Rhinolophus ferrumequinum: one gene and its partners. The protein of the gene in region 3 purifies or fractionates together with the protein of the main gene of each other region. This does not show direct contact. Links are inferred from orthologs where the notes say so. Each region holds a gene or a part of one and is shown on either strand. Other genes may lie near its edges. The genes, in order: IFT27, IFT46, CLUAP1 and IFT57.

Evidence for each region.
Region 1: the proteins of CLUAP1 (region 3) and IFT27 purify together in Homo sapiens (affinity purification with mass spectrometry; 3 studies listed by BioGRID and IntAct, with this or other methods). This does not show direct contact. The link is inferred for Rhinolophus ferrumequinum from reciprocal best matches to the Homo sapiens genes CLUAP1 and IFT27.
Region 2: the proteins of CLUAP1 (region 3) and IFT46 purify together in Homo sapiens (affinity purification with mass spectrometry; 3 studies listed by BioGRID and IntAct, with this or other methods). This does not show direct contact. The link is inferred for Rhinolophus ferrumequinum from reciprocal best matches to the Homo sapiens genes CLUAP1 and IFT46.
Region 4: the proteins of CLUAP1 (region 3) and IFT57 purify together in Homo sapiens (affinity purification with mass spectrometry; 4 studies listed by BioGRID and IntAct, counting the BioPlex papers as one, with this or other methods). This does not show direct contact. The link is inferred for Rhinolophus ferrumequinum from reciprocal best matches to the Homo sapiens genes CLUAP1 and IFT57.

The regions. Positions count from the first base shown.
Region 1 is NC_046293.1:9,967,504-9,974,720, forward strand, and holds the start of IFT27 (intraflagellar transport protein 27 homolog), read left to right. Parts: upstream 1-4,200; 5' UTR 4,201-4,609; coding exon 4,610-4,643; intron 4,644-7,217. UniProt on the Homo sapiens protein: Small GTPase-like component of the intraflagellar transport (IFT) complex B that promotes the exit of the BBSome complex from cilia via its interaction with ARL6. Not involved in entry of the BBSome complex into cilium. Prevents aggregation of GTP-free ARL6.
Region 2 is NC_046294.1:87,904,179-87,911,405, reverse strand, and holds the start of IFT46 (intraflagellar transport protein 46 homolog), read left to right. Parts: upstream 1-4,215; 5' UTR 4,216-4,464; intron 4,465-5,187; 5' UTR 5,188-5,284; intron 5,285-7,227. Other genes in the region: ARCN1 (coatomer subunit delta), read right to left, coding at 368-370. UniProt on the Homo sapiens protein: Forms part of a complex involved in intraflagellar transport (IFT), the bi-directional movement of particles required for the assembly, maintenance and functioning of primary cilia. May play a role in chondrocyte maturation and skeletogenesis.
Region 3 is NW_022680357.1:4,893,717-4,901,704, reverse strand, and holds the start of CLUAP1 (clusterin-associated protein 1), read right to left. Parts: upstream 3,020-7,988; 5' UTR 2,850-3,019; coding exon 2,828-2,849; intron 1-2,827. Other genes in the region: C15H16orf90 (uncharacterized protein C16orf90 homolog), read left to right, coding at 7,219-7,264, 7,727-7,988. UniProt on the Homo sapiens protein: Required for cilia biogenesis. Appears to function within the multiple intraflagellar transport complex B (IFT-B). Key regulator of hedgehog signaling.
Region 4 is NC_046285.1:35,882,781-35,890,304, forward strand, and holds the start of IFT57 (intraflagellar transport protein 57 homolog), read right to left. Parts: upstream 3,019-7,524; 5' UTR 2,901-3,018; coding exon 2,689-2,900; intron 295-2,688; coding exon 132-294; intron 1-131. UniProt on the Homo sapiens protein: Required for the formation of cilia. Plays an indirect role in sonic hedgehog signaling, cilia being required for all activity of the hedgehog pathway.

The DNA of each region.
Region 1 (7,217 bases), on a different chromosome or scaffold from region 3:
ATGACGGAACAGTCCCTGAGAACAACTTAGCAGCAGCTGCCGCTCTGCTTTCTTCCCACTGAAAGCCCTCACTTCGTAATTAGCCCAAACAGCCCAGTCCCCGGCTTTGGGGAGCAGCTGTTAACTCCTCCTCCTCCATGGAGCCTGCAGGTCTGGAGGTTGTATGGGTCTAGAGCTGGCTGTGCAACGGGGGGGGCGGGGGGGAGGCCAGGTGGAGACCCCAGACATCAGGTTGCCGCGATCTGATTAGCCATGGCACCCCTTCCAGCAATAAGCCCGTTACCTACACAAGAATCCGTGCTTGCTGAACGAATGAATGGACAGAAGGGAAAATTCTACAAGATTCATTCATTCATTCAAAAATATTTACTGAGTGTCTTGCCATGCTGGGCATTGTCTTAGATGCTGGGAGGACAAAAGAGACCAAATCTCATGACACTCACCTTCTAAGGGAGGAAGACAGAATACTATACAAATAAATACAGAATATGATATCTGTATATCACATAGTAGTGAGTGCTATGAAGAAAGAAAAGTAAGACAAGGAGATTGAGACTGACAGATTGGGGGTGATTCTTTAAATTTGAACAAAAATCAGAAGGTCATGAGGGCAAGTATCATGCAGCCATGTTAAGAACAGTAAGTGCAAAGGCCCTGAGGTAGAAAGGATCTTGAGGAGATTGAGAAACACTAAAACGGCCAGAGAACAGGGATAAAGGTGGGACCTAGCATGACCTAAGGGCAGTAGTTCTCAAACATGAGCCTGCATCAGAATTGCTAGAAAGGTTTATGAAAACACAGAGAGTGGGCCCTCCCCCCAATGTTCAGTTGTTTGGTGGGGAAGGGCCTAGGGACGTGTATTTCTAACAAGTCACTGATGCCATTGGTCCAGGGACCACTGCTAGGGTATTTAGTCTTCATACAACAAGGAAAGGTCCTGCTCAATGTTCACCAGTCATAGGTCGCCACTGCTGACTGTCTCCCCACTGGAAACCAGCGCCTATGATGGCTCTGCCCATGGTGCTCAACAAAACAGTTGTTGAATGAATTCCTCAAAGAAGTTTCCCCGCCAGGCCTTGCTTCACTCTTTTGTCGTTTTGCTGTCTACGTGGCTCTAAGCAGGCGCGTGGGTCAGACCTACCTCTTACCAATCTCCCACTGAACACCTGAGCAAAGAGTGTCACCTGCTGTCTCCAAATGCTTGATGCACGGCCACCACTGGTGGAACACCTCTACACGTGCGATTCCATCTACTCAGGAGGTCCTTTCCTCTGTGTCCATCTCGTAAATTCCTACCCATTCTTCAGGGCTCTCCTTCCAGAAGAGCCTTCCCAATGCCCCTCCACCTATCCAGGGCTAGAAGGGCTCCTTGGAGTCCTGTATCCACTCATGCCGCAAGGATTCGTTCATATGTTTGTCTTCCCTTCTTGAATTGAGGTCACAGATAGGCAGCCCTCGGGGTGAACCAGTCCACAGAGATGTTCTACTGTGGCTACAGTGTTTTCAATTTAAGTTCATTGCCAAAATTTGAGTCAAGGGATTTCACACAAAAGTCTAGATTTTGGGCTCTTCTAGAAAAGTCAGGGCTGGCATTCTTACATGGCCAGGATCTGCTAGAGTTGCTTGGGACTTGTCACCTTCGCTCTGGTGGCCCCAGCACAGTGCCTCGTCCAAGGCAGGCACTCAAGAAAGCTTATTAATGAAACCAGAAAGGTGACTTCAGGTAATGGAAAAAAACACCGGTCCCAAGAACAGGTGACCTGAGGCTGGTTTTGGTTCTAGCTGACTTGTTGCCTGACCTTGGGCTCTCTCTGGACCTCAGTTTCCTCGCCTGTTACATTGAGATAATGAGAGTTTGCACTTCCCAGGGTCACTGCATCCAACAACAGAGAGGATGTGAAGTGCTTAGCACGTGCCTGGCATATAATGTTCAATCAGCATGCGATATTACTGCAAGGAACTCAATCAATATTTACTCTCGAGGAGGGGAGGAAGTGAGGAGTTAGAGGCAGCAGAGGTCCCTTTCGGGGCCAGCGGGGTGATAGACTATTTGTGTTCAATCCTCAGTTCTGCCATTCACTAGCTATGTGACCTTGGGCATTTGACTTAACCTCCTTTGGGCCTTGGTATCCCTATCTATCAAATGGGAATAATACAAGCCTCATGTGGGGCTATTGTGAATATCAAATATGAGTATTAATTAATCCTTGAAAGCACTTAGAACGAGGCCAGCATTCCACATACGTTCAACACACGCCAACTCTCAGAGAGGGGTTAGATTAGAATCTTTCAAGGCCCCTCCTGGCTCTAAAACTCTCGGACCACCTTAAACCTGTGACTGTGTCATGCGGCTGTCCTTTAGTCACCAAGAACGTACAGAAGGCCCTTGGGATGAGGGGAGCAGAATTCAGTATAAAGGGATTACCACCTCTCTAGAAAGATCCAGAATGCTGACCACAGGCACACTGAGTAGCAGCAACAATAGGGAGAGTGGATGTGGTGCAGAGGAGTGCAGCCCCGTGTGGGAGGTGCCATTACGCCCTCGCAGGAGGAAATGAGGCTTCAGAGGCTGCCCCCAGATCTATATCAGTGCCTCAGCCCCATGGAGCTGCCTCGAAAGGTTGACTCACTCGAGGGGTCCTTTAGGGGATGACGGGCGTCACAGTGAACAGGACAGCCTGGAGGGGGAGGCAGAAAGACCAGGCAGCGGCGTTCTGACTCACCCAGGCCTGGGGTCTCTGAGACAGACACGCATGAGGTCTCCAAAGAAGCAAAGTAGGGAAGGGGGATGAAGGAGAGACAGGTCGTAACCAGAATACCAGGAATGATTCTCAAGAAGACAAAATTCCAGGCAACTTGGATTGTTTTACTCTGGATTCAGAACTGAAACTTTCACAGTCATTTGTCAAGGGTGTGTGTGTTCGTTCCCCTGCACAAGGCTAGTAGCTACACTGAGACAGAGAGCAGCTGAGACAGCAGAACGTTCCAGGTAACCGAAAGGCACGTGATGGTAAATCCTGAATGCAGTATCTTTGCTGAGGGGCTTCTCGTCCCTTTCAGCATCAGCCAAGGGTTGGCGGGGTTGGGGGAGTGAGGGGTGGGAGGTGGAGGGATGGGGGTGAGGCAGGGGTGAGAACAGGGGTGCATCTGACCAACCTATGACGGTGATGATAGACCAAATCTGTCCTGATGAATTTCTTCTCCTTCATCCATGCAGCTGTTGAGTGTTGAGTACCTACTACGTCCCAGGCGCTTACATACTTTCTCATTTAAACCTCAGGACAACCCCATGAAGGGGGTTCCACTGGCCCATCTTTAAAGCTGAGTCAAGAGGCGCAGGGGTGAGATGTCTTGCCCGGGTCAGGAAGATGGCAGGGATTTGTCTGGTTTGCTGACCGCAGAGCAAGAGGGGGCCCTCTTTGTGTGGCCTCAACATTCTGGATTCTCGCTTTCATTCAATATGTGATATACATACGCTCTCCATTTTACAGGAGAGGAAATGGGCTCAGAGGAAAGGATGACTTCAACTGCCTGGGTCCAATCGGCTCACTCGCCTCCAAGTTCACTTGTTCTCCCTTTGTTGACAGACATCCCTTTAAACGCTTTAAAATTTTAGATTTTAAAGCGCGTAATATCTTCGGTCTTTTAAAATGAGATTTGCCTGCGGAATGCGGGGCAACGGCTGAATTTTTTGATGCACCTCACGGCCGCACTCCCCGGAACCTGGGAATTGGGGAAGCATCAAGAACCTCCACCACCTCAAACCCGTCCTAAACTCCGCTTCGTCCACTGCGGCCTCATCTACTGCGCAGGCGCCACTCCAGTCTCCCGCGCTCCCGACCCGCCCCCTCGCGGACGAACTCACCTCCAGGAGGGCAGGGGACACGCATTCCTCCCACAGATGGTCCAAGCCAGCTTCTGGCCAATCAGAAAGCTTCTTTTAGCACCGCTTCTGGCTAAAAGATGTTGGAGCTTCTTTTCCTAGAACTTTCCGGCAGTGCGGGGTAGAGGGGTGTGGGGAGGGGGGGAGGAGTGGAAATGATTGATGTCTCCTACAACCATTAGCCAAGGGGGATGAGTTTGAAAAGCAAATAACACTACGAATTGTCTTGCAAGGAAAGCCTGTGAGCTCCGCCCCCTCCTCCCACTGGTCTCGGAGAGCCTTCAGGGTGGGAACTTTTGGTGGCAGCCAATCGAAGGTCAGCGAGGACGGAGGAGGCGGGGCAGGCGGTTGTTTGGCCAGAGGGTCAGACGCGGTGCTAGGGGCCCCGGGGTTGTAGGGTCACTCTTCCGGATCCCCACAGGCAGGGGCTGGGCCGAGGGAGTGGGCCGCGAACGGGTGCTGCGTCGCCTCGCTGGCCCTTTCCAGGCTGCCTTCTGAGGCCTTGAGCCAGACCCCATCTGGCGCTCCCCTGCGCCTCCGCCGCATCCCTCGCGCCGGATAGCCGCCCCCTGTCTAGCCCAGAGGGTCCAGGCCCCATCTGTCCCTGCTCCCACCGCGGCCACGGGCACCTTGAGCGTCATCCTCCCCACTTCCCTTCCCAAGCAGCCCCACCAACGCCTCTAGCCGCCGCTCTTCCCGTCTGGTCCGTGGAAGTGGCTGGTTACTATGGTGAAGCTGGCAGCCAAATGCATCCTGGCAGGTGAGTGTGAAATTTACAGTCTCCAGAGTCCAGAGACCTCATAAGTTACCAAGAGCTTTTGTTCACGTAAATTGTCTACCCTCTTTCCCTTTCTCTCTTCCAAAGGCGAGTTAATGCAATTACTAACAGTAAATTCCATTAGTTGTGGAAGAAGTATCTTCCAGGCTACACTGGTAGCTCCAGCTGATTTCTCCCGCCCCCTGTCAGACTGTAAGACCATCTTCACCTTTCTGAGCTGTACTCAGGAGGTACAGACTCTTTAAAAACCAGGCTAACCACACCCTGAGTGCTTCAACCAAACCATGTGCTGTACCCCAAAATTAGGCACCCGTGGCTTTGCTAGTCTTATGGGATTTTTTCCCTGACCCTGCCCCTCTGATGACAGGGACAGACAATAATGTAAAATTGACCAGAGTTTGCAAAAAAGGTGCAAGTGTATTGCCTTTAAAACCCAAAGTTACTGCGCTTCCCTACGCTCAGGAGGACAGAAATATCGAATCCCCCAAAGGCAGGAATCTTTGTTTTGTTGACTGATGGATCCCAAGCACCCGGAACAATATCTGGAACCTACTAAGTCCTCAATAAATATTTGTAGAGTGAATGAATATGTGGCATTCACATGTGTGGTGCTCTTTGTATCAGTCTGCACATTTAGAAAAACATTTGCCTGGATTGTAGACCTGGAACCACAGAACACATGTGTACTGAGTCCTTCCTGCATGCCAGGCACATGTATTTCATTTCATCCTCTCCCGGTGGTAGGTGAGCACACCGGTAGGTGCTGTATTGTTCCCGTTTCAGCTGGGGCACTGAGAAGTGAAGTCTCGCCCAAGGTCACGCCCTAGTGAAGGAAGGTCATAGGCAGGATTTCAACCCCTGGATCTGCCCAATTCCAAAACTCTTAACCTGTGTTACTCTTGGAACCTGTGACCTTTCCGGGGTTCCTTGACCAGCTCAGGAAAGAAGCAGTGAGAAATTATTAAGAGGGTAAAGAGATTCTGACTGAAAGAGATGATACTTTTAATGACTTTTCTAATTTGGAAATAAAAGGGTCACACAGAAAGATGACTGACAACAGTAACTCAAATCAGACTGGAGCAAAAGAAGTTAAGGGGTCTCTAGTTCCCAGAACGCCGGAGGAGGCCGTATTGTGTAACAAAAAGAATTCTGGCTGTTCCTCTCATTGGCTGTGTCATCTTGGACAAAGCACATCTCTGAGCCTCAATTTCTTCATACATAAGTTGGGATTGTTTTTGTTTTCTGAAGTTAGATACATTTTTTAATGCGTTTCTCCCTCCAACTCTACTTTCTCTTATTTCTTTTGTAATTCAGCTTCTATCATGGAGCTAAGTGTGCTGAGTACCCTCCATGTACTGGCACTGTGGCAGACCCTCACCACAGGTCATCGCACTGAATCCACACAATAACTCTGTGGGGTCAGTATTATTGTCATCATCATTCACAGCTGGAGCAACTGAGCCCAGAGAGGTTAAGACACTTGCCTTGGGTCACACAGCTGGATGTGGCCGAGCTGGGATCTAGACCCAGGTGATCTGATTTCCAGTGCTTTGTTCTTAGCCCCAAACTAAACTGTCCTCGAGCCTCGATTCTAGACTCTTTGCCCTTCTTTACACCCATTCCCTCAGGTACTGTTTCACCTGATTTCAGCCACTGCCTGAGTTAGTGATTCCTGAACTCCAACCTAGCTCTCCATCTGCAGCCTCAAGACTATTTCCTCTTGGAAGTTTCCAGGGACTAGAAGACAGTGAATCAGCCCCACCAGCACCACGCACCCAATTCTTGTTCTCCACACCACCCAACTTCACACACCTGCTCTGGTTTTATTTGTCCTTTCCCCTCACAGGTCTGCTGTTTAAATTGAGTTAATCTGCCCTTTTTCTCTCACGTACCTAGTCATTGAAGGACCCAATATTCAATTCAAGTGCTTATTCATTCGACAGATATTTATGGAGCACCTACTATGTGCGAGTCACCATGCATGGTGCGGTGCGAATGCAAGCATGAATCAGGCCAGCACCTGGACTCAAGGAAGCGCTGAGATGTGCATAGTAACTTACAATGCAGCAAACATGAATCGAATGCCCTTTGTGTGCCAGATACCAGAGAAATACCTGCTGATTGTTTTGGCTCAGATCAGGAAAGAAAACAACACTTGACGTTTATCTATATTTTATTTACTTAAAAAATCACTTAACTATTACTTAATATACATGAGACACTGTACATATTAACTCTTTAAATCCTCATAACAATTCTATGAGATAGGTGCTGTTATCCCCATTTTGCAGATGGGACAACTGAGGCCCAGAGAGATTACTGACCCAAGGTTACACAGCGCATAAGTGATGGAGCTGGAATCTATGCCCTACGTCCTATGATTTACTGCCTCTCGATGTCAGTGGGGATGATAGAGCCTCACCAGAAGGTTGCTCTGACATCAGGTCTCAATGAAATGGCACTGACCCACATGACCACACAAGTAAAAACAAAGGAGGGAGAGATGACCTTCGGAGGCTGTGCAGGAAGGACGCTATTTGAGCTTGGCCTGGCAGA
Region 2 (7,227 bases), on a different chromosome or scaffold from region 3:
CTGGACTTTTGCGCGGAGGATCGCAGAGTGGGGTCCAAGCGCTATCACTACGAGCTTCTAGTAGAGCAAAAACCCCAGCCCATTCCAGGGCCCGGATCTCAGCACAGAAGGTGCCCAGTTGGGGGTGGGGAAGGAAAGGGTGTGGGCGCTACGACAGAGGATACAGGAGTCAGGTCCCCCGATCTCCCGAGAGGTCGGGCACAAGACAGCTCCCCGAGCCCCGAGGGTAGCGCCGGGCGGAAGCGCCGTGCTCCAGGTGCTCCAGGCCCTCAAGCAGGGACTCCTCTGGCCATAACACCAAGACGACCCGCAGAGAGCGCGGACACGCGAGGCCAGATCCGGGAATGCGGCCCGGCTCGGATCTTACCATGGTGAGGGCGGTGGTGGGGCGCACCCGCGCTCTGGCTCCACTGGGGCTAGGGCTGAGGTCAGGGAAAGGAAAGCACCGGCGGCTCTGGACCTGCTGCCCCCCTGACAGGAGCCGCAGCCGCTTTGCCTCTCGCCAAGATGGCGGCCCTGAGCCACGTCTCAACCGGAAACTGCGCAGGTCAAAGGGCGGAGGGCGGGGCGCCATGGGGTGGGGAAATTGTGCGTGCAAAGCTAGAACGCGACTTGGCCAAGAAGGGATCGGGCTCACCCAAGCGATAGAACCTCGTATTTTTGTCCCTTCACTTATTGTCAGCGCCCTTGTTTAATTTTTGACACCTCTCGTAGTTTATAAAACTCTCACAGCCACTACATCACTTAACATACGAAATAACCGGGTGTGCATAAGGACCTAATATCCAGAATAAAGAACTCTTACAACTTAATAATAAAGACAAATAATCCAATTTTAAAATGGGTGAAACAGACATTTCTCCAGAGGATATACAAATGGCCAATAAGCACATAAAAGATGTTCAAACATCCTTAGTCCTTAGGGAAATGCAAATCAAAACCACAATGAGATACCACTTCACCTGCACTAGGATGCCTGTAATAATAATGTTGGTATAATAAGAATGTGGAGAAATTAGAACCCTCATACACTGCTAGTGGGAATGTAAAATAGTGCAGCTACTTGGGAAATAGTTTGGTAGTTCCTCAAAAATTTAAACCTAGTTACCATATGATGCAATTCCACTCCTTGGTATATACCCAAGAAAATCGAAAGCATGTCCCCACAAAAAAGTGTACACTAATATTCATAGATGCATTATTCATAAGAGCCAATAAGCAGAAACAACTGAAATGTCCATAATAAATGAATGGATAACAGAATGTGGTGTATCTACACAACGGAATATTACTCAGTTGAAAAAAGGAATAAAGTACTGATACATTATACAACAAGTATGAACCTTGGAAATATGTTAAGTGACAGAAGCCAGTCACAAAAGATCATATCTTATATGATTCAAGTTATATGAAATGTCCAGAATAGGCAAATCCATAGAGATAGAATGTAGGGCTATAAGGAGGTGGGAGAGGGGAAGAATGGGGAGTGAGACTTTTGGAGTGATGAAAATATTCTGGGATTATACAGAGGTGGTGGTCACACAACTTTGTGAATATACTAAAAACCACTGAATTGTACACTTTAAAAGGGTTAATTTATATGACTTGTAAATTATACCTTTTTTTAAAAAGTGTGTGGGAATCAGGGCAGTTACTGCGTTCATGTTCATTTTGTAGGTGAAGAAAATTGATGTCAAGTTTAAGAAATTTACCCAGAGTTCTAGGCCAGTATATAATGGAAGCAAGAGTCAAATCTAGCCTTCTGATTCTGTTGATAGTTCTCCCATGTCAAGTGTCGGACTTAGGGCATATGTGATTCAGCAGTTCTCCCCTATATCATTTCGTCCTGTATCACTGGCTCAACTCTACAACACTCAAACACTGCTGCAATAATGGATAAACAGCAAATTTTTATTGAGTGCTTATTTTGTGTCAAGTACTTTACACATGTTAGCTGTAATCCTTTACAACAATCCAGATAAGGACACTGAGGACCAAAGAAGTCAAGCACTTGCCCAGACTCACAGTCTGTAAGGGATAGAGCCAGGATTCAAACCCATTTTTTTCTCATTATGACACACCTGCCTCTCTCTATATATGCCATGTTCCGGTATAAGACCAGGTCTTATACCGTATTTCCCCAAAAATAAGACCGGACTTACATTAACTTTTGCTCCAAAAGATGCATTAGGGCATATTTTCAGGAGATGTCTTATTTTTTTCATGTACAACAATCTACATTTATTCAAATACAGTCATGTCATCTTTTGGAACATCGTCAAAATGTACTAAATGCGTCCATCTGGCTGACGATCTTAACTGGGGCTTATTTTCGGAATAGGTCTTATTTTTCAGAAAACATGGTACATCTTCGGTATGTTCCTTAATGTTTATTGAGCACTTACAATGTACAGTGTATTTAGGAATACTGTGTATTCCTAAACTCTTCACACAGATTATCTGATTTAATCCTCACAAAAATTCTCTGACATAGGAACCATTAATATCTTTATTTTACAGGGAAACCAAAGTACAAAGAGGAAAACTATTCTACCACACCTCTCACGGCTAGAAAGTAGTAACTCTAGGATTGGAACAAAAGCTGCTCAACTTTAGAATCTATACTCTTAAGCACTGCACTATAGAATTCCCACTCATTTCAATTCTATCTCCAGTGGCTTTCTAGTAGAATCATTACAAACCCCCCATATTTTAGAACTTGCATGTCTGGGAGGATCTATGTCAAACTGTACTGTTTATTTTTATTATAAAAAGGACATGCAGTTTTAAAAAGATGAACAAATTCTTAATTTAAAAAAAGTAAAAATCATGTCTGGAATTATTGCTTTATTGTGGCAGCTTCCAGGGGCATTCAGTGTGGAACAACCAAAGCTCACAAAGACCAACTGATGCTGATTCTTTAGAAATACGACAGTTGAATTAAACTGCATAAGAAGAGTACCCCAGCAAGCATGCTTTGTGAGGAGTGCCTTAAAGGCAGAAAGTCATAATGGTTAAAAGCAGAGCCTTGGGAATTAGACTGACCTGTGTTTGACTCCCATTGTCGGCACTTACTACCGTAGCTGAGTGACTCTAGGCAAGTTGCTTTAATTCTCCAAAACCTCAATTACCTAATCTGTAAATTGACAGTAACATCTATCTCATAAGGTTGTGAAGTTAGGTAATATATTAATAAGTAAGATTATATAATCTAAGTGGTCCTACATAGTAAATGCTCAACAATACATATCCATTATTATTAGCAATAACAGATGACAAAAAATTTTAAAAAATGTTTTGCAGTTCCATTCTTTTTAGATAAATTTTTATTGGGGAACAGTGTGTTTCTCCAGGGCCCATCAGCTCCAAGTCGTTGTCCTTCAATCTAGTTGAGGAGGGCGCAGCTCACTGGCCCATGTGGGAATTGAACTGGCAACCGTGTGGTTCAAAGCTTGTACTCTAACCAACTGAGCCATGCGGCCACCCTGCAGTTGCATTTTTAACCAGAAGAGTCTCAGAAGAGGTGTTTCTCATTTTCTTTTTAAAAGCCACTTTACTGCTTTCCTCTGGCTGGTTTTCAGGGTCAAATTTCCAATATTATTCTCTTTGTTTCTCTCTTTGTTACTCCCCAAATTAACTATGTCTGTAGTTTGAAATATTTGTTCCTTACATCTTTGTTCACTCATTCATCCACCCAATGAGCATTTTAAAAACACCTAATTTATGCAATGCACTGACACTATGAAGATCTTAAAAATTAGTTAGACACAGACGCTGCCCTAAAGAAGCTCAGTCTTCTTTAGCAAATAAAAATACAGACACCAGGATAAATTGTAATCTCAGATAAATAACGAATAATTTGTTAGTATAAGAAATGTCCTATGCAATGGGACACCGTAAAGAGGAAGGACTATAATGTAATACAAATGCTAAAAAGGACGTACAAAGTGTTGTTGGACTATTCCTTAGAGATTTTGTCTAAATTCTGATTAGACTGATAGAGGAGGAATTGCATGACCAATGGTAATTGTCTTACGGGGTAAAATGCACATGATTATTTCCAGATTGAAGGGTTAACTTTATAAACCCAAATTCATCAGCCAGCTTTGCCACCCGTGGCCGCTGGATGCCGCCACAGACGCCTTTACTGAAACCATAGACAAACAGGCGACCTGATCGCCCAGAGAGGCTCCTCCAACCCCCACCCCGGAGACGCTCTTGATCCTCCTTGGAGCCTTCCCTCACAGGGACTGAAGGCGCGAGTGGAGAAAGTCTCACGAGAGTGAAAGCAAGTCTCGCGATTTTTAAAATTTGTTTGTTTATTTATTTTTACCTAGCGCCTGACAACTGGACGGTTGCTCCAGGTAGAATCCCTAGAGTGGCTTGGCCTGACATTGGAGTGAGACCTCAGCCCCAGGCTGGGGTTCTTTCAATTTAGAGGAGACGGATTCAGATGGGCTACAGGTAATTGGTACTCACCCTCTCCGGAAGAGAACTCCTTTTCTCCCTCCCAAGAGGAATTTAAGCGGACTCCCATTCTCTCCTTCCAATCCCCCAATCTCTTCTCATCTCCATGACAACTGTTCCTTCTCCCCTTCGTTCACGTCTCCACCAACCACCCTGCTTTTCTCTTACTCCCCAAGAACTTAAGGGGGACCCGACCTGCAAGTTGGGTGGGGGGTGGAGATGGGGGTGATGTTTTCGGGATTATTGGATGGGACTGAGAGGCTGGAGTTGACCCTCTGTTCCGGTAAACGAGGTAACCCCAGAGACAGAACTCATTCTAGAGCCTCTACAGCCTCCCCTGAGAAACAGCGACAGCCTTGGGAAAACCGAAGGAACCTAAGTCGCTATCTATAAACGAATACTGTTTAGCCCGTGTGCCTGTGTGTGCCTAACAGCTTTGGGGAGCTGGTGTAGAAGTTGGCTGTTGTTTCCCTCCATGATTCTCTGGTTCCTCAGCTAGCTTGTCAGCAGTTCCTAAATATGGATTGCAGCAGGATGATCTCACTGCTTGATCTTGGGCCAAGAAGCCTTAAGGAAAGTTTGAATGGGGGTGAAGTTTTCATGTGAAACTAATGTCTTGGGTGAGGAACAGGATGAATGCTGGTTTGGAATCGCACCTCTCCGCATAGTGTTTAATGTCTGGTGATATGAGCCTATGTAATCGTGTCTCCTTTTGCTTAGACCAAGATTGTTGAAAACCAGACATATGATGAGCGTCTAGAGATTAACGACTCTGAAGAGGTTGCAAGTGTTTATACTCCAACCCCAAGACACAGAGGTAAGAGAGGAATGAAGAGGAAAGCAGAAAAAATGGTTCTCAGAACAAAGGGCAGGATGGATTCATGATTGTCTCCAAGAAGTTTCTATTTTGTCATAGCAAATGTTGGCTTTCAGAGTGAAGTTACTTCACTTGCTATTGTTTCTGTTTCCTAACTAGTTAAGGGGGATGAAAACACAGCCTCCCAGATTCTGGGATATTCTTCCAACCTGATCAGTGTTTCCTAATACCATTTACTTTATGATACTGTTCTGCTCACAATCTGACAGGGGTTCATGTTTTGTTTTGTTTTGTTTTTAACTTATCAAAACTGTTTTGCTCCACTTTGAAAATGCTTCAGTAACCTTTCTTTAATCTGCAATCCCAATAAAAATCTCAGTGGAATAATTGAAGAGGATTTGACACCATCATTTATTTAACAAACATTTTTCTTAATGTATATTGTGTGTCAGCCTTATGCTTGTCACTAGGTGTACAGTATTAAAAGAGATGTTGATTCTGCCATCTGATGCTTGTAATCATTGGAGACAGGTGACAAATGAATAGATAAAATTACGAGATGTGATCAAACAATATGGTGAATGTTTAAATTTAAAAAATTGTATTACAGTAAAAGACACATTATCATTAATCCCCCTTAAAATACTCCCCCTTGCTTTGAACACACTTATCCCATCATTCTTGCCACTTTCTGAAGCAGTTCTGGAAGTCCTCTTTCGTGAGTGTCTTTAGTTGTACTGTCATCGTGGCTGCCTCTATGTCCTGAATCATTTTGACTGTGGGGAAGAATCAGAAGTTGCACCGTGCCAGATCCAGTGAATAAGGTGGATGAGGACACACCGTAATGTTTTTATTTGACAGAAATTGCCATGTACCAGAAGCGATGTGTGACACAGCGCATTATCATGATGGAGGATGATTTATGGCACACTTTAAAACACACCTTCTCAGGGCGGACGGGTGGCTCAGTTGGTTAGAGCGCGAGCCTCTGGGCAACAGGGCTCCCAGTTCGATTCCCACATGGGCCAGCGAGCTGCGCCCTCCGCAACTAGAATGAAGTCAACGGGATGCCGCTGAGCTCCCGCTGAGCTCCCAGGTGGCCCGATGGTTCAGGTGGTTGGAGCACAGGCTGTCAACCACAAGGTTGCTGGTTCGACTGCTGCAAGGGATGGTGGGCTGCACCCCCTGTAACTAAGATTGATCACAGCACCTTGAGCTGAGTTCCCAGATGGCTCAGTTGGGTGGAGTACGTCCTCTCAACCACAAGGTTGACGGTTCAACTCCCACTAGGGATGGTGGGCTGTGCCCCCTGCAACTAACAACGGCGACTGGACCTGGAGCTGAGCTGTGCTCTCCACAACTAAGATTGAAAGGACAACAACTTGACTTGGATGGAGCTGATGAGTCCTGGGAAAAACACACTACTGTTCCCCAATAAAAAGTCCTGGAAATACACACTGTTCCCCAATAAAGTACTGTTCCCCTTCCCCAATTAAAAAAACCCCCACAAAAAAACCTCTCACCTATAGCTCACACCCTACTGAGTGCACCGAACAAGTTGAAACTTGTCACACACTGTTAGTAAGTCACACACCACTTCCTGTATTGAAGATCCCTGGCTTTCTGTTGGATGGCACTCGGCAGCAGCATTCACCGTATTTTTTTATCACAACAGAAGGGCTCCATGTCACACATAGCTTCTGGTATGGCAATTTCTGTCAAATAAAAACATTATGGTGTGTCCTTATCCACTGGATCTGGCACCGTGCGACTTCTGGCTCTTCCCCAAAGTCAAAATGACCATGAAAGGTAAATGTTTTGAATCGATTCAGGACATCAAGGCAGCCACAACAGCGCAACTGTCAGGATATATATGTATGTGTGTATATATATACACACACACACACATACACATATGTATATACATATATGTGTATATATGT
Region 3 (7,988 bases):
TGTTTTTATAATTGGCAATTTGTACATCTTAATCCCTTCCTCCTTTTCACCCATCCCCCCAAACCCGCTCCCATCTGGCAACCATCAAAATGTTCTCTGGGGGCTGGCCCGGTGGCTCAGGCGGTTGGTTAGAGCTCCATGCTCCTAACTCCGAAGGCTGCCGGTTCGGTTCCCACATGGGCCAGTAAGTGGGCTCTCAACCACAAGGTTGCCAGTTCAATTCCTCCACTCCCGCAAGGGATGGTGGGGAGCGCCCCCTGCAACTAAGATTGAACACGGCACCTTGAGCTGAGCTGCCACTGAGCTCCTGGACAGTTCAGTTAGTTGGAGCCCATCCTCTCAATCACAAGGTTGCCGGTTCAACTCCCGCAAGGGATGGTGGGCTGCGCCCCCTGCAACTAGCAACGGCAACTGGACCTGGAGCTTAGCTGCGCCCTCCACAACTAAGACTGAAAGGACAACAACTTGAAGCTGAATAACACCCCCCACAACTAAGACTGAAAGGACAACAACTTGAAGCTGAATAACACCCTCCACAACTAAGACTGAAAGGACAACAAGTTGACATGGGGAAGAAAAAAAAAAGTCCTGGAAGTACACACTGTTCCTCAATAAAGCCCTCCCCCAATTAAAAAAATTAATTAATTAAAAAAAATGTTCTCTGTATGAGTTTGTTTCTGTTGTTTTGTGTTTTTTTTTTTTAGATTCTATTGGCTATTAATTTAACTTCTATTTGATATCTCATTTCTCTCTTGGATATCTTTTTACCACTCAAAATGAGAAATACCTGGCTTTATGAAACATCATAAAGAAAAAAATACTTTTAAATGTTAACAGTGTTTATTTTTGGGGTGATGGTGGTAGAGTGAAGTCCATGTTCCTGAGTTATTTTTGAATTATTTGCATTTTATTTTTCGTGAGCTCGTAGGACCTCAATAACACAAATTTTACAGATTAGTTGCATTGTATTTAGAGAAATGTTAAAGAGAATGGTTAACACTAGAGCACTATTTATATTTATTGTAAAACAGATTAAGAAACAGTAATACTAACACTTGTAGGTGCCAGAGGTTGCAGTCACAAAGCTTTAAGCAGGACTTGGAAATGAATACAACAAACACTTTTTGAATTACCACAATGGGCCGAGATCTATATTCAGTGTGCTTCCAGCTATGTAATACCTGTCCTCACTCTTCTTGAAGGTGGACGTTCAAAATGTCCCAAGGACATTCACAAATAAGGTTAGGTTGGATTTCACCAGACAATAGAAAAGAAGGTATGAGCAGAAAAAAGAGCAACTACACAGAGGACGTGTAATTACTTTTGGGGAAATTTGAATAGAGTGATGGAAAATAAAGCAGTAGCCTTCCCACCACCGTCAGGCACTGCCGAGATACTTCCCACCAAACAGTAGTAGTCAAGTTCTGTTAGTTCTGCAGTATTATTGTCAAAATGGAGACATTTTAAGCAAGGTTCTTAACATAAATTGCACAACTGTACAGCATTCATTTAAGGTAAAAATGTTCATAAATCCGCTTCTTGTACACTTTTCCCAATACAACTCCATTCAACGTTCCTTAGCAGAGGGCTCTCTCTAAACAAGGGAGGAGAAACTTGTCTCTACAAGATAATCACCAAGAACCTTCAAATCCCAACAGGCATAATTCATAGCTACGGTGCTAGTAGATGCATTAATAAGGTGATGCCTGCCTAATTCTGTATACTTACATTGTAGATAAAGAGCAATTCATAACTGAAAACATAATTTTTAATGGTGAAATTTCAGGCACCAGCAATTCAATTAGAAAATTGGTCTTAAGGAGGCCCCTCAGATCACAGCAAACTGGCAATCACCTGCTACATCTATGCCCGTGGAGCCACTTTGCTGACCTGCTTCTGAATCAGAAAATGATAGCGTACAAAAGGCAAGAGATTTTGATTCACACAGTATTATGTCTCGATCGTTGGTTCCACCCAATTCTGGTTGTGTGACCTAAAGTCTACTTGACCTCTCTGTGCCTCAAAGTATTTCATCGAGGAGTCACCTACCTCAGCGTTAAAGGGAGGACTAAAAAAACAGTGAATGTAAAATGCCTGGTGTGTAACAGGCGTCCCCCCAAGTAGTAGCAACCAATTCTCTTATCCACATTCTCCCCGTTTTCCAACCTTCTAGCAAAGGGTTCCCTTCTCCTCGTTAGCTCCTTTAGAAAGGTCAGAGGCTTTGAAGGTTAGACAACCTGAAATCTAAAACTCCTGCGCCAGTTCTAACCACTTGTGACCCTTGACTGAATTACCTGACCTCTCTGTGCCCGTTTCCTCATCTCTAAACACAGAACCGTAGTTGTTCAGAGAAGTAAATAAAATGATGCGCATACACAGAACAGTTACCACCTGGCAGATCCGTAAACACTCATAAAATGTTATCCGCAATTGTTATTCACTAGCCCCCTCCCTTTTGTTGTTCGTTTCTCTGAGCTCCAAGTGAACCCAATTCAAAACGGTCTCTGCGTTTTCAAATATTATAGTGAAGAGCCTGTGTGACTATACAAATCAATTAAAATTAGATCAAATTAAAACTTCGGGTCCTCAGCCGCACTGGCCACAGCGAATGGCAGACAGAGAACTTCCCATCATCGCAGGAAAGTGCGGTAAGTTAGGGCCGAGGCGCTCCGCCTGGGGGGCGGCAGAGGGCCAGGGACGCCCTAGGCACAGAGGCCCGGGAAGGTGCTCGGGCGGCGCAAGCCTCGACGGGGCTCAGACGCGACCCGCAGGCCGAAGCCCCGAGTCTCGGGAGGGCCGCAGGTCATAGGGGGCAGGGCTGCCTTACTGCGGAGGTCACGGAAAGACATGACGCTCTGGTCCCCACCAGCACGGAATCCCCGCCGCTCGCCCGGAACCTCCGCCGCTCGGCCCTCGGTGCTCACGGGTCTCTATGGCAACGCACTGCGCCATCGACAGCGCGCAGCAGAGGCCAAACAAGGCGCGAGGTAAATGGGCTGCGCAGCGCGCGCACGCGCAGGAGAAGGGGCGGGCAGCAGGGGAAGTCCCGGGCTCGGGGGGAGGCGGGTGTGGGATTATGCCCCTGGGGGGGGCTTCCGACCGAGGGGCGTCCCGGTCCCCTCCACACACGTTGCAGACAGACTACTGGCTGACACGTTCTGAGCACCTACTATGTGCTCTACATAATACTTCCCATTTCCTCAACTCTTCTAGAAAGAATGTACGACGTCACGAAGTCGGATCGCCCACCAGGGTCCTGTGCCCAGCACGCTTCTCTTTGCAAACTGGCTGACCGCGTCCGCAGCCCCTGAGAAGCGACCGCGGGGTAAAACAGCAGGACACCCGCCTGTCCCCGGGGCAGTGAAGCTGACTGGTTCGGACCTGCGTACGCGCCTGCGGCTCAAGCTTCACGACGAGCCGGAAGTCAGCCCGGATCCTTGCGCGCCGGCGGTTGTCCTGGCAACCGTGGTCTCTTCCGGCGGGCGCGCGTTGGACTGTCTACGTAATTGAGGAAACAAGGCTCCGGAGTGAAGAAGGTGCCCAATATGTTGCCCGGTCAGCTAGGGGCTCACCTGGGAGCCCTCCGTGGGGTTGCCACGGTGGAGAACAGGCGACGCAGAAGGTCTGGAAAGGTGAAGTGATTTGAGCTCGGAAAGATGGACGAAGCGGAGAGCTGTACTCTACTCCTGTATTGGTGTTGGCGAAGTTAACAAACATACTCGTAAATGCACGGACCTTAAAGGCAGTCCCCAAATAGATCCACATAGTACGACAAACGTGACAGAGCACTTCAGTGGAGAAAGAACAGTCTTTCAATAAATGGTTTGAAAAAATTGGAAATCCTTATTCAAGTAAATGAATCTCCACCCTTACCTAAATATAAAACCTGAAACTAACTTTTCTAGCAGAAAACTTAGAGGAAAGTTTTGTGATTGAGTTAAGCAAGATCTCTTAGATACATCAAAAGATTTTTTTTGGGCAAATAGGACTTCATCAAAATTTAAAACTGCTAATCAAGATATTTTTAAGAACGTTTAAAGATAATCCAATCTAGAATAGTCACAAAACACAGCTGATAAAAAGGTATCCAGAATACATAAGAACTCTCAAAATTCAATAAAACAATCCAATTGATGGAAAGACAAAAAATTTAAACTAATACTTTACAAAAGACGATACATGGCCAATAATAAGCAAAGGAAAAGACCAAAATTATTAGTCATTAGGGAAATGGATATTAAGTCACAATTACCTATCACTAGGCAGTTATTAGAATGGCTAAAACAACAAAACAAAAACCCTCACAATGCCAAGAGCCTGAAAGAATGTGTACCAACTTGAACTTTCATACATTACTGGCTGCACCATTTTACATTCCCCCAGTAGTGAAGGAGGGTTCTAGTTTCTCTACATTCTCATTTATATATTCTCCATCCTCATGGGTGTGAAGTAGTATCACACTGTGGTTTACATTTGCATTTCCCTAATGACTGATGATGTGGCGCATCTTTTCCTGTGCTTGCTGACAGTTTGCGTATCTTCTCTGGAGAAATGTCTATTCAAGTTCTTTGCCCAATTTTTTTTTGTTTTGTTTTGTTTTATTGGGGAATATTGGGGAACAGTGTATTTCTCCAGGGCCCGTCAGCCCCAAGTCATTGCCCTTCAATCTAGTTGTGGAGGGCGCAGCTCAGCTCCAAGTCCAGTTGCCGTTTTCAATCTTTAGTTGCAGGGGGCGCAGCCCACCATCCCATGCAGGAATTGAACCGGCAGCCTTGTTCAGAGCTCGCGCTCTAACCAACTGACCCATCTGGCCGCCCCTTCGGCAGCTCAGTGGCAGCTTGTTGTCTTCAATCTAGCTGTGGAGGGCGCAGCTCACTGGCCCATTTGGGAATCGAACCGGCAACCCTGTTGTTCAGAGCTTGCACTCTAACCAACTGAGCCATCCGGCTGCGCTTTCTTTGCCCATTTATAACTTGGGTTGTCTTTTTGTTGTTGAGTTGTAAGAAGTCTTTATATATTCTGTGTATGACACTTGTCAGATACATGATTTGCAAATTTTTTCTCCCATTCTGTAGGCTCTTTTACTTCTTGATAGTGCCTTTTGTGGCACAAAAGTTTGAAATTTTTATGAAGTCCAATTTACTTTTTTGTTGCTTGTGGTTTTGTTGTCATATCTAATTGTCAAATCCAAGGTCACAAAGATTTACCCCTATGTTTTCTCATAAGAGTTTTATAGCTTTAGCTCTAACATTTAGGTCTCCGATGCATTTTGAGTTCATATTTATATATGGTGTGTGAGGTAGAGGTCCAACTTCATTCTTTTTCATGTGGCTCTCCAGTTGCCCCAGCACCATTTGTTAAAGAAATTCTTTCCCCCATTGAATAATCTTGGCATTCTCATTGAAAAGCAATTGACCATAGATATATATGGGTTTCTTTCTGATCTCTCCTATTCCATTGGTTTAGATGTCTGTCCTTATGTCTGTCCCACACTGTTTTGGTTACTGTAGCATTGTAGAAAGTTTGGAAATCAGGAAATGTGAATCTTCAAACTTTTTTCTTTAAGATTGTTTTTTGTTATTTTGGTTCCCTTTGTAAATCCACATGAATTTTATGATCAGCTTTCCCGTTTCTGCATAAAAGGCCATTGGGATTTTGAAAGTATCTGTAGCTCACTTTAGGGAGTACCGTTGCCTTAACAATATTAAGTCTTGAACCCATAAATAGGAATATTTTTCCATTTAGTTACGTCTTTATTTATTTAGGCAATGTTTTGCAGTTTTCAGTGTAGTTTTGCACCTCCTTAGTAAAATTTATTCCTATATTATTCTTTGTGTTCTTTGCCAGTATATATAAATACAATCAATTTTGGGTTTTTTTAAATGTTTTATTCACATATTAAAATTTGTGCATTCCAATAATTAAAATCATTTGAACATAAAAAATTGACACTCTGATGAAACTGCGTTTTACAGCCTGCAGGACACCTTGGACTAGCTTGGTTTTTCCTCTCGATTTCGCTGTTGCCCATCCAGCTTCTGCCTTCACCAACATGCAGGTTCTTTTCCTTCCCTGCCAGCCAGCCAGGCAGATGGGAGGGGCAGGTGTGGCCTGCATTGTCAGTAGTTCTGACGTGAGAAGGGGCAGCACAGTCATTTAAACTGGATCTAACCTCTTTGTATCCTACAAGTTAAGCAGCTAAAAGCGGGGAAATCAGAAGGCAATGCTTGTGGAATGTGCAGTGCGTACTGGCGGTGCGTGCCGTTACCATTCGCCTGCTCGTGTCTCCTGTTCAGCCTTTCCTTTCGAAGGCAGTGGGTTTTTCTTTTGTGTTTCCGTCTTCTTCAGTTTTGACTGTTGAATTTCTCAATCTCAGCCACATCGAGTTTGTCAGACATGGTTTCAGAGGAAGCAGAGCGAGGCACGCAAACAGTTGGAGTCCAATGTGCTCAGTGGCCCCTGCCAAGTGGCCAAAATACAACTAATTTTTGTGTTGATCTTATATCCTGCAATTTTGCTGAACTTTATTAGCTGTTTTATTAGCTCAAACAGTTTTGAGTGTGAATTAATTTTTTCTCTATATAAGATGTTATCTGTGAATAGAGAATTGGAAGCTTAACTTTTCAAGAAATTGTTTCCCAAAGTGGTGGCGCCGTTTTACATTTCACGTTCCCACCAGCAGTACATGAGCGCTCCAGTTCCTCCACATCCTTCCTCACACTTGGTACAAGTCACACAATACCCTGTCATTTACTTATGGAAAAATGGACAGAAAAGTTAAGTGACTTCCCCAGTCACCCAGAACCACCTTATAAGCATGCTCAAAGCACTGGCCCAGGTTTCACCAAGTCTGTACCCCTAAACCCTCATTTCCCACCCACAGATGAGAAAACTGAGATACCAAGAGGTCATCCCTGGAAGCGACTCTCCAGTCTGCAAGAGCTGAGTCTGTTTTGTGTGGCCTGTCCCAAAGCCAGAATGACCAGGCACCTCCCCTAGAGTTCTGCCCCCTTCCCTCGCCCTCCTCCCACCCTGCCCCTGCCCTGGGGCATCATCCTCCCCCAAACTCATGGGGTCCAGGAAGACTGGAAGTCTTCCCTGTGACATCACATTGCCTGTTGCCAAGGGAGACCTGCAGACCCACCCCGTAGGCAGGGGAGAGCAGAGCTCTGCTGCACAGGAGGCTGGGCCACTCCTCCCTCACCACTCTGGCCCTCCATGGAAGCCTTGGTCTGTGCGTTCTCTGAGCTGCGCATAAGAGAAGGTGCTAGGCTGTGGGGCAGTGTAGCAGGAGAAATGTCCTCTGTCCTCACCTGGGCCCAAAGCCACCAGGGTGGCCTCAGAGACATGCAAGCTTGGGAGCGAGGACCAGCACTGGTCTAGGACATATGACTTGGGCTGTGTGATTCTAGACACACTGTTCAATTTCTATACTAGCACCAGAATGCGTTTTCCAGGGTAGGGGGCAAAAAGGGGTGGCAGAAAGGGCCTGAAGTCCTGAAAGAAAGGCTTGGGTTTCTCAGATCTCCCTGTTGGCTGGGAGAGGAAGGAGTAATATGTTAGGTAAGGGGAGGCAGGAGGCAGGGGAGTTAGCCCATTTGACAGACAGGTAAGCTGAGGCTTGGCAGGCCAGGAGTGGAGCCCAACACATGAGCATGTGACTGCATTCTCCCTTCGTGGCTGCTGTGGCCCATCGGCCACCACCGTCTTGCTTTGCCCTCCACAGATGCAGTGAGCTGGGCCCGAGGACCCCCCAGTAACCCCCGTACGCCACCCAACATCTACGAGGGAGGGCTGGGGTCCCAGCAGCTGCAGTGCCCCAGTGCCCAGGAAAGCAAGCCCAAGAACTTCAGGCTACGGCACCTCCGGGGCCTGGCGCTCTACCTGCCGGGCCACATTCAGCCCGCTGGCCAGTGCGAGAGCCACTGGTTGGGCCGGCTTATGGCTGGGGGCTGCCTCCCACAACCCACAGGCTGGCCCCTGGATCT
Region 4 (7,524 bases), on a different chromosome or scaffold from region 3:
ACATATATATAGATAGATATAGTTATTCACAGAGAATTTATCTAAAAGGCTAGCATTCATGTTGTCGAATTAACAATATTAAAATTCATAACTTGAGAATATGCAGAAAGTAGAGAGTTGTTTACACTTACAAATGATCGAAGCTCAGATAATATATTAGATATTGTTGCATTAGGGTCATCATATTCCTGAGGCTGCTCAAAGGGGCGTCCTGCTTTGCTAATCAACCAAGCAGCAAGAGTGCAAAACATGTAGAACTGTTCACCAGGGTTGGTAGGCAGTGCAAAATAGTGTCTGTTTCAAAACAAGAGGGGAGGGTGGAAATATTGAGAAGTCTATAGTAATTAAAGGAGCTAAGTCCAAAATTGCCCCAATTTTTTTTTCAAATGGCTTTAAAATCAAAAGACATTGATAACTCATTCTTTGAAATTTCTAATAATCCACAGCACTCCCACTAACGTTTTTAATCAACAGGACTAGGACAATAACTACTGCATAAAAAATATTAGATCAAAGACCTTACACCCCAAAAATGCAGGGCATGTTAAAAAACTGAGCACATAGAACTTTTGCCAAAATAATTTGTGTATCAGGAATAATATGAGAGTACTTCCTGAAAATGTAATTTGGAATCAAGAAAATCTTAGAGTTTAAAAAAAAGACCTTAATGATTATTCATTATGCATTTCTACATTTTTTACATCACTGGTATCTTTACTTACTGTTGTATCAGTTAACAGTTGTTCTCATCTTGGCTGCATATTTGAATCAACTGAGGAGCTCGTCAAACCACTGCAACTGGACCGAACAGTTCTTCCCTCATGAATTAAATCAGAACTTCTGAGAGTGAAGTCCCAGTACAGGTATGTTTTAAAAGCTTCCTAGATGGTTCTAAGGTGTAGCCAGGATTAAGAACCACTGAGTATCACATCCCCAGTCTAACAAACATTTGTTGACTGTTGTAAAATCCCTAGCCTACTACAAATAGTCCTATGAGGATCAATATGATATATACTTAAATATGTTAGGAATAAAATTTGCTAGCCACAGCATTCAAGTCAGTTTGACTAAAGATCTTAGTTTGCTTTTTACATGTAGCTATTATGTTCATAATTGTATTTATAGCTATTATAGGTATTTTCCATAAGAATCAGCAGTGAACTCATGTTTCCCAATTTCTTTCCTGCAGGATCAATGTAAGTGTCCTAGAACATAACAGAAAGCTGGAAAGAAAACAAGGCCATGAAGTCCTTACAGGTAGGTTTACAACCCTTTCGAAGCACCTGCTGGTAACAACTCATTTTTTTCTTGTTGGCTGATAAATCCAAGATAGAGGAATGGATACTGACACATTCTGTAGACTTAGGAAAATGACTCTCAAACTTGAGCATGCATCAGAATCACCTGGAAGACTTGTTAAAACAGATTTCTAAGCCCCACCGCTAGAATTCCCGACACAGTAGACCTGGGACAGGGCCTGTGAGCATTTCAAATAAGTTCCGAGGTGATGCTCGTGCTGCGGGCCTGATGACCACACTTTATGAACCATTAAATTAAGATACCTCCACACAAATTCATTATTCAAAGTATCCTGCTGAACTCCGGAGGAAATAGTACAGAGGTTATATCAATAGAAACTTAGGGCCATTTTCTTTTAGTTTGAAAAATATATTTGGGAAAAATTCACTTTTATTAACAGAAAATACTGCTTGTTTATATTATTCTGATCAGTTAATTTAAGTAATAACTCCCAAGCCTACAATTTCCATCTTGGATTAAGCTTACATATCTTATAACTCAAGTAACTGGAAGAGAGCAGGGAATGAGATCAAAACTGTCAAGAGAAATTATTTGAGCCTAGCTATTATTTGAGCCATTCAGAGAAAGAAATAAAGATTCATAATCTAAAGTAATAAACAAATCTAAGTATGTATTAATGTAAAGGAAAAACTATAAAACTTATTTACCTCTCCGTGCTAAGCTACATTGATTGGAAGAGAAAGTGCTAGCTGTCCATTATCCTCAGCAACTAATGACCTGGGCTTCCGGATATGATGAACTTTTCCCCAACAGAGGGGCAGAACTTTAGGCTCGATGAGAAAGAGACGGCTCCTACAGTTGTCATTTCATTTGTCTTTTCCACTTTTCCACTTCTTTAAACCATAGCAATTAGTCAACAAGTTTGCCAACTGCATAAAAAGTGCTAAGCAAGGTCCTAGGTATCCATGGTTACCACCTGTAGGGACAGGTTCTTGCAAAGGAAAACAAAAACTAGAGAGATCTAAAATGATCATGGCATTTGTCTTTGGAGATGAGATTATGGGTGATTTTAGTATTTTTCTACACATTTTCTTGTGTTTTTCTGAGTTCCCTGCAAGAGGAACTTTTATTACTTTTATACTCAGAAAAAACAGTTTGTGATTTGTGGAGGTGTGTGCTTTAAAGACTAGGCAAGCTGTCTTCCAGTCCTTTCTGTCGTTCCAAAACTTTCCTCTTTACTAAAATACCAAATATAAACTCCGTGAGCTCCACGGCCCTCCGTTGCCAAGTTTGGATGAAGTACCCTTTCCAGACAAGGCGGTGAAGACAAGTGCTGGCTAACCCGCGCTGGGCGTTCCCCAGAAGGCCGGAGGAAGGCCTCTTCCCAGGGCCCAGCAGGCACCCATGCGCGGGGACCACGGCACCCACCTGGACGGGGGCTTCAGGTTGTTCTTCCGGAGGAGGTCCTCCTCATAGCGGAGTAGCTTCAGCTTCTCCACCAGGTCCTCCATCACCACGAACATGTGGTAGGCCGCGCCGGGCCCCCGCTCCACGACCACCTCCCCCGCCCCTTCGCCGCGGGACCGGGACGCCCCATCCTCCAAACCCGACGGCGTGACCACTGCCGCAGCGGCCGCCATCGCAAAACAAACAGAAAGAGCCCAGCGTGGGCTCCGGCCCACGGATCTCAGCGGCCTGCGCAGTTGCAGCCAGGACCGCCGCGACCCGTTACCAGGCGACCGACAGGCAGACCGTCACCAGGGAAACTAGACTCCTCCTCCTTCCCTGAGCTCTTCTAAATTCCCTCCAACCAAAGCAAGCTTTCTGGGCTACGTCATGTAGGGTCTGCCCCTTCCCCTGCCTCTTGGAAGACAGTGGCGGGGAGGTAGCCACGCCCTCGTGGGGGGGCGTGGCTCCCAGGGCCCCACGTCCGGCCACGCCTCCTACCGCTGCAGTTTAAAGGCGGAGGCAGGGCCGTGGGTGTTTTTGCTGCGCTTTCCAGCTGGCCCTTGGCTTGCTAGAGGTGCGTTGGACCTGGTGGTTACCAAGGGCAGCTGAGCGGGCATCCGAATGAGCTGCTAGCAGTTTAAAAGATTAAAGAAAAAGGAAGACGAGCAGTATTGAAGGCTATACTAGCCCCCTGATTTTTTTCTTCTTCTCACAATTGAAAGTTTTCACAGTTGTAAAGGTAGTCGATATTCTGAGGTTTCCTTTTACCTCAGCAACCTCCCAAAGGGAAGTTTCTTTCCTTCCCCCCCCCCCTTAAAGTTAGTCTTTCTCTCATTAGTGAATGCTGTGTGTGATCTAACACTATGTTATAAGACTGTCAGTATCATTCCCTGCTATCAGCGCTAGGAAAGGGGTTGTTGCTTGGGAGGGAGTGGGGAAAAAGAATGGCAGAGGATGAGCAAAAAGGAGGCAGTGGGAAGGATTTGTTTTACCTCGGAAACAAGCATTCTAAACTCACATCCTTCTCCTAATCTGTTTCAAGCCCATTACATGCAGTATACAGTGTTGGGGTTCCTTGTTAAAATCAATAAAATAAAGGAAATAATCTTGAAAGGAATTTATTTTCCTGTGCTATAGCTCTAAGTGTGGTTAAAGACAGTATTACTACTGCATTGTACTCTGCAGCTATTAAAGGAAAAGCAAGAAAAGGGGGCATAACTGACCAAAGCCTTACCGTTCTCAAAGAAGTCTTGTGTGTCAAGAAGCTTTCCTAACAGCTATTTAAAAAATGAGGTAAGTGGTAGGTGCGTGGAGGTTTCCTGGGAGAAGAAAACTTGTGGCAAGAGGTTGAACATGTATTTGTGTTTATACTGTGTTTTTTGAGGGATCTCTGATCTCTTATATCTGCTACTAGAGAATAGAGAAGTCACATTTTTTGACATAACCAAAGTGTGAAGTTTATCTGTAATAACTTTTTGTTTTTGTTAGAAAAATGGGCAGAAGAGCAGTTTTCATTTTAATATCAGTCTAAACTTTCTGATACTCAGAAAGGTATCAAAGTGAAAAATCAGGCAAATACCTTTGTGTTTACCAAAAAAGTAAATACATCAAATAACTGATTTACGGTATGTAGAAAACAATCCAAAGGGGAAGGCCACTGAGAATTGCTTTTTAAGTAAATAACATTGTCTGCCTACTATAGTCATTTAACCAGCTGCTTTTAATAAAGGTGAGTGGGAAAATCAGGTATGGCTCTACCCCACAGCCAAATGAGTCTTTTTCTTTGCCTCCTTGGAACAGTGTTTCTTCCCCATACATCCCCACCCTAACCACCACATGTATGGATGAGGGATATTGTGGTATGCTTGTATAACTTGCAGAGTACAAGATAAATGAGTAGCTTTTTAGGATTGAAAAATATTAAAGCTCAGATACATGCTTTGGGGTGCTTAAACAACAAGCAACCTGTGGCTTTTTACACGGTTTTCAAAAAGGTTTCAGACTTTCAGGTAAATTGATCACACCCAAGGAGATAGACATTCACTAGAGGCGTGCTGCTGACATAAGACGTTCTGACATTTTCAGAAAGTATATATAGCACTCAGGATGAAATAGTCAAACATTGTTTTTTGGCTGATGAGAAATCCTCCAACAACACATGCACTTTGTGGGGAGAAAAACTCTTCTCCCAGAACCTAGCCATTTTCTTCCCAGGCGCAATAGTGGTGCAGTCTGTCTTGAGGCAGTATGAAGAATTATCTTCTCTCTTAAGTGTTGTGAGAAAGAAAAAACACTAAAATATAAAGTATCCCCCTGTAACTATGGCACAGAAAGAATGAAAGAAACAAAGGAAAAGCCAACTATTCAACATTGTTTCCCCCACAGAAAAAAGATGGTAAATAACACTGAAATGTCATTTCATTGTTATAAGACCCCAGGGATTATTTTTGCTGAACCTTTGTTTACCCACAATAGTTGACAACGCTTCAAGGGGTCTTTTCCTTAATGGAAGTAGTTTCTTCACGTGTGAGAATGCACACTCAAATCCTCTTTGAGCTGTCTCAGCCACTTGGAAGCTTTGGAGTACATTGTGTTAGTATTTTTGCAGGACTAGCTCATTCATTGACTAAAGAGTTAGACGAGAGCTTGAAGAGAATGGGATGTTGAGGCTTGTTCATACTTCCTTTCAAGAATCTTAAGAGAGATTTATCCCTGGCTTTATGTGTTGACCACAATTATAGTTGGGCTTCTGACTTTGACTTTTATCTCTCTCAAACTATCTGTGAAATAATTGGAAGTGCTTTTTAAGGCCCTTAAGATCTTTCTGTGACTGGGCTAATCTCTGAAAACTGAACGGCATACCAATCAAAGGTGATTTAAACTAAATGGATTTCGTTGAAAGATGTTGAGCAAGGCTGGGGGTGAAAAGAAGACAGGTTCAAAGATGGAGGCTGTCTTTCCAGCTGCATCTCCAAATAAAAAAGTCCTCCAAGAAGACTGGACAGGCTTAAAAAACAAAACTGCTTTTTGTTATAAATGGCTTGGTATCACCCATGAGATATGTTAAAAACTTAGAAAACCATTAATTGAATAGAACTTCCTTAACCTAATAGAAAGTATCTGCCCAAAATCTTGAAAGAAAAAAAAATCATATTTAAATGTGAAGCATTAGAAGCAATGCCTTTTAAAGCCATGAGCAAGGTGAAGACATCCAATCTGCAAAACTATACTAGAGATCAGAGCCAGTATACTGAGACAAAAAAATTAGGAGTAAGTTTTGCAGAAGAAAAAAACTGTTGCAGGTGATAAGATTAAGTAAAAAAATTCAAGAGAATCTATAGACAAGCTCTTAAGGCAGCTCAGTAATTGTCATATAAGAGATCCAAACTAAAGAAAAGTTACTTACTGGTTGGAAGAATAGTTAAAATGGCCATATCACCCAAAGCAATACACAGATTTAATGCAATCCCCTTCTAAATCCCAATGGCATTTTTTTTCAAGAAATAGAACAAAAATCATCAGATTTGTATGGAATCACAAAAAGACTCCCAATAGCCGAAGCAATCCTAAAGAAAAAAAAAGTGATAGATATTAGGAAAGAGACTCAACAGAACTTAGTAATGGGCACCATGAAATGTTCTCTGGGGCACTGATGGCACCACAAAGATGTTCCACGTTGGGGTGAGAAAGCTGGCCTTTATCCCCTGTCTCACTGGGTCACTGGCTGGTGATTAGCTCAGGCATCTCTGAGTGAGGTGGCTTCTGTTAGCCAAGGGTAGTTTTCTGGAGATGAATGCAGCTGTGAACACTGAGCGGCCAGTACTCCTACTGTTTACCCGAAAATAAGACCTAGATGGACAATCAGCTCTAATGCGTCTTTTGGAGCAAAAATTAATATAAGACCCCAGTCTATATTAATAAAAGACCCAGTTATTTTAATATAAGACTGGGTCTATATAATAATTATATAATATAATATAATACCAGGTCTTATATTAATTTTTGCTCCAAAAGATGCATTAGAGTTGATTGTCTGGCTAAGTCTTATTTTCGGGGAAACACGGGTAGCAACTTGGGAATGGGTGCATCAACCTGGGTAGGCACTGGCAGCTTTTGCTGCAATATTTAACATTAAAGTGCAACACTTTGAGTTTCTTTATGTGAGATATGTTCTGAAGTAATGCAGATGGTCCAGTTGGCAATGTCTGGAGAACTTTTTGTTTGTTACAACTATGAATGGGTGCTACTGGTGTCTAGTGGGTAGAGGCCAGGGATGCTGTTAAACATCCTATAATACACAGAACAGCCCCTAACAACAAAAAATTATCCCACCAAAAATGTCAATAGTACTAAAGCCAAGAAACTTTCACCTACAAGAACACATCTAAAACTCTCCACCATGGCACAGAGGTCTTGCAATGACCTATTACCTTTATGTATCCTGGAGACTAATCCATTGACATTATATGGGTCACAAATATCTTTCTTCATTGTTTCTAGAATCCTCTTTTGTATCTAAATTCTTAATTTTGATGAGTTTCTCTTTTCTTTAAAGTTTGTTCTGTATTTCCTTCAAGAAACCCTTCTCTACATTGAGGTTCAAGATACTCTATTTGTTTCCTTCCAAGTATTTCACATTTCTGTCAATACATCTGAAATTTATCTACTGAAATTCAGAGATGTGATTTGGTTTTCATGTGGATAACCCATAGCTTAAACAGCATTTATTGAATAGTTCTTTATATATTTTGGATATCAGCCCTTAATTAGAGGTATTGTTTGCAAATGTCTTCTCCCATTCAGTTGGTTGCCTCT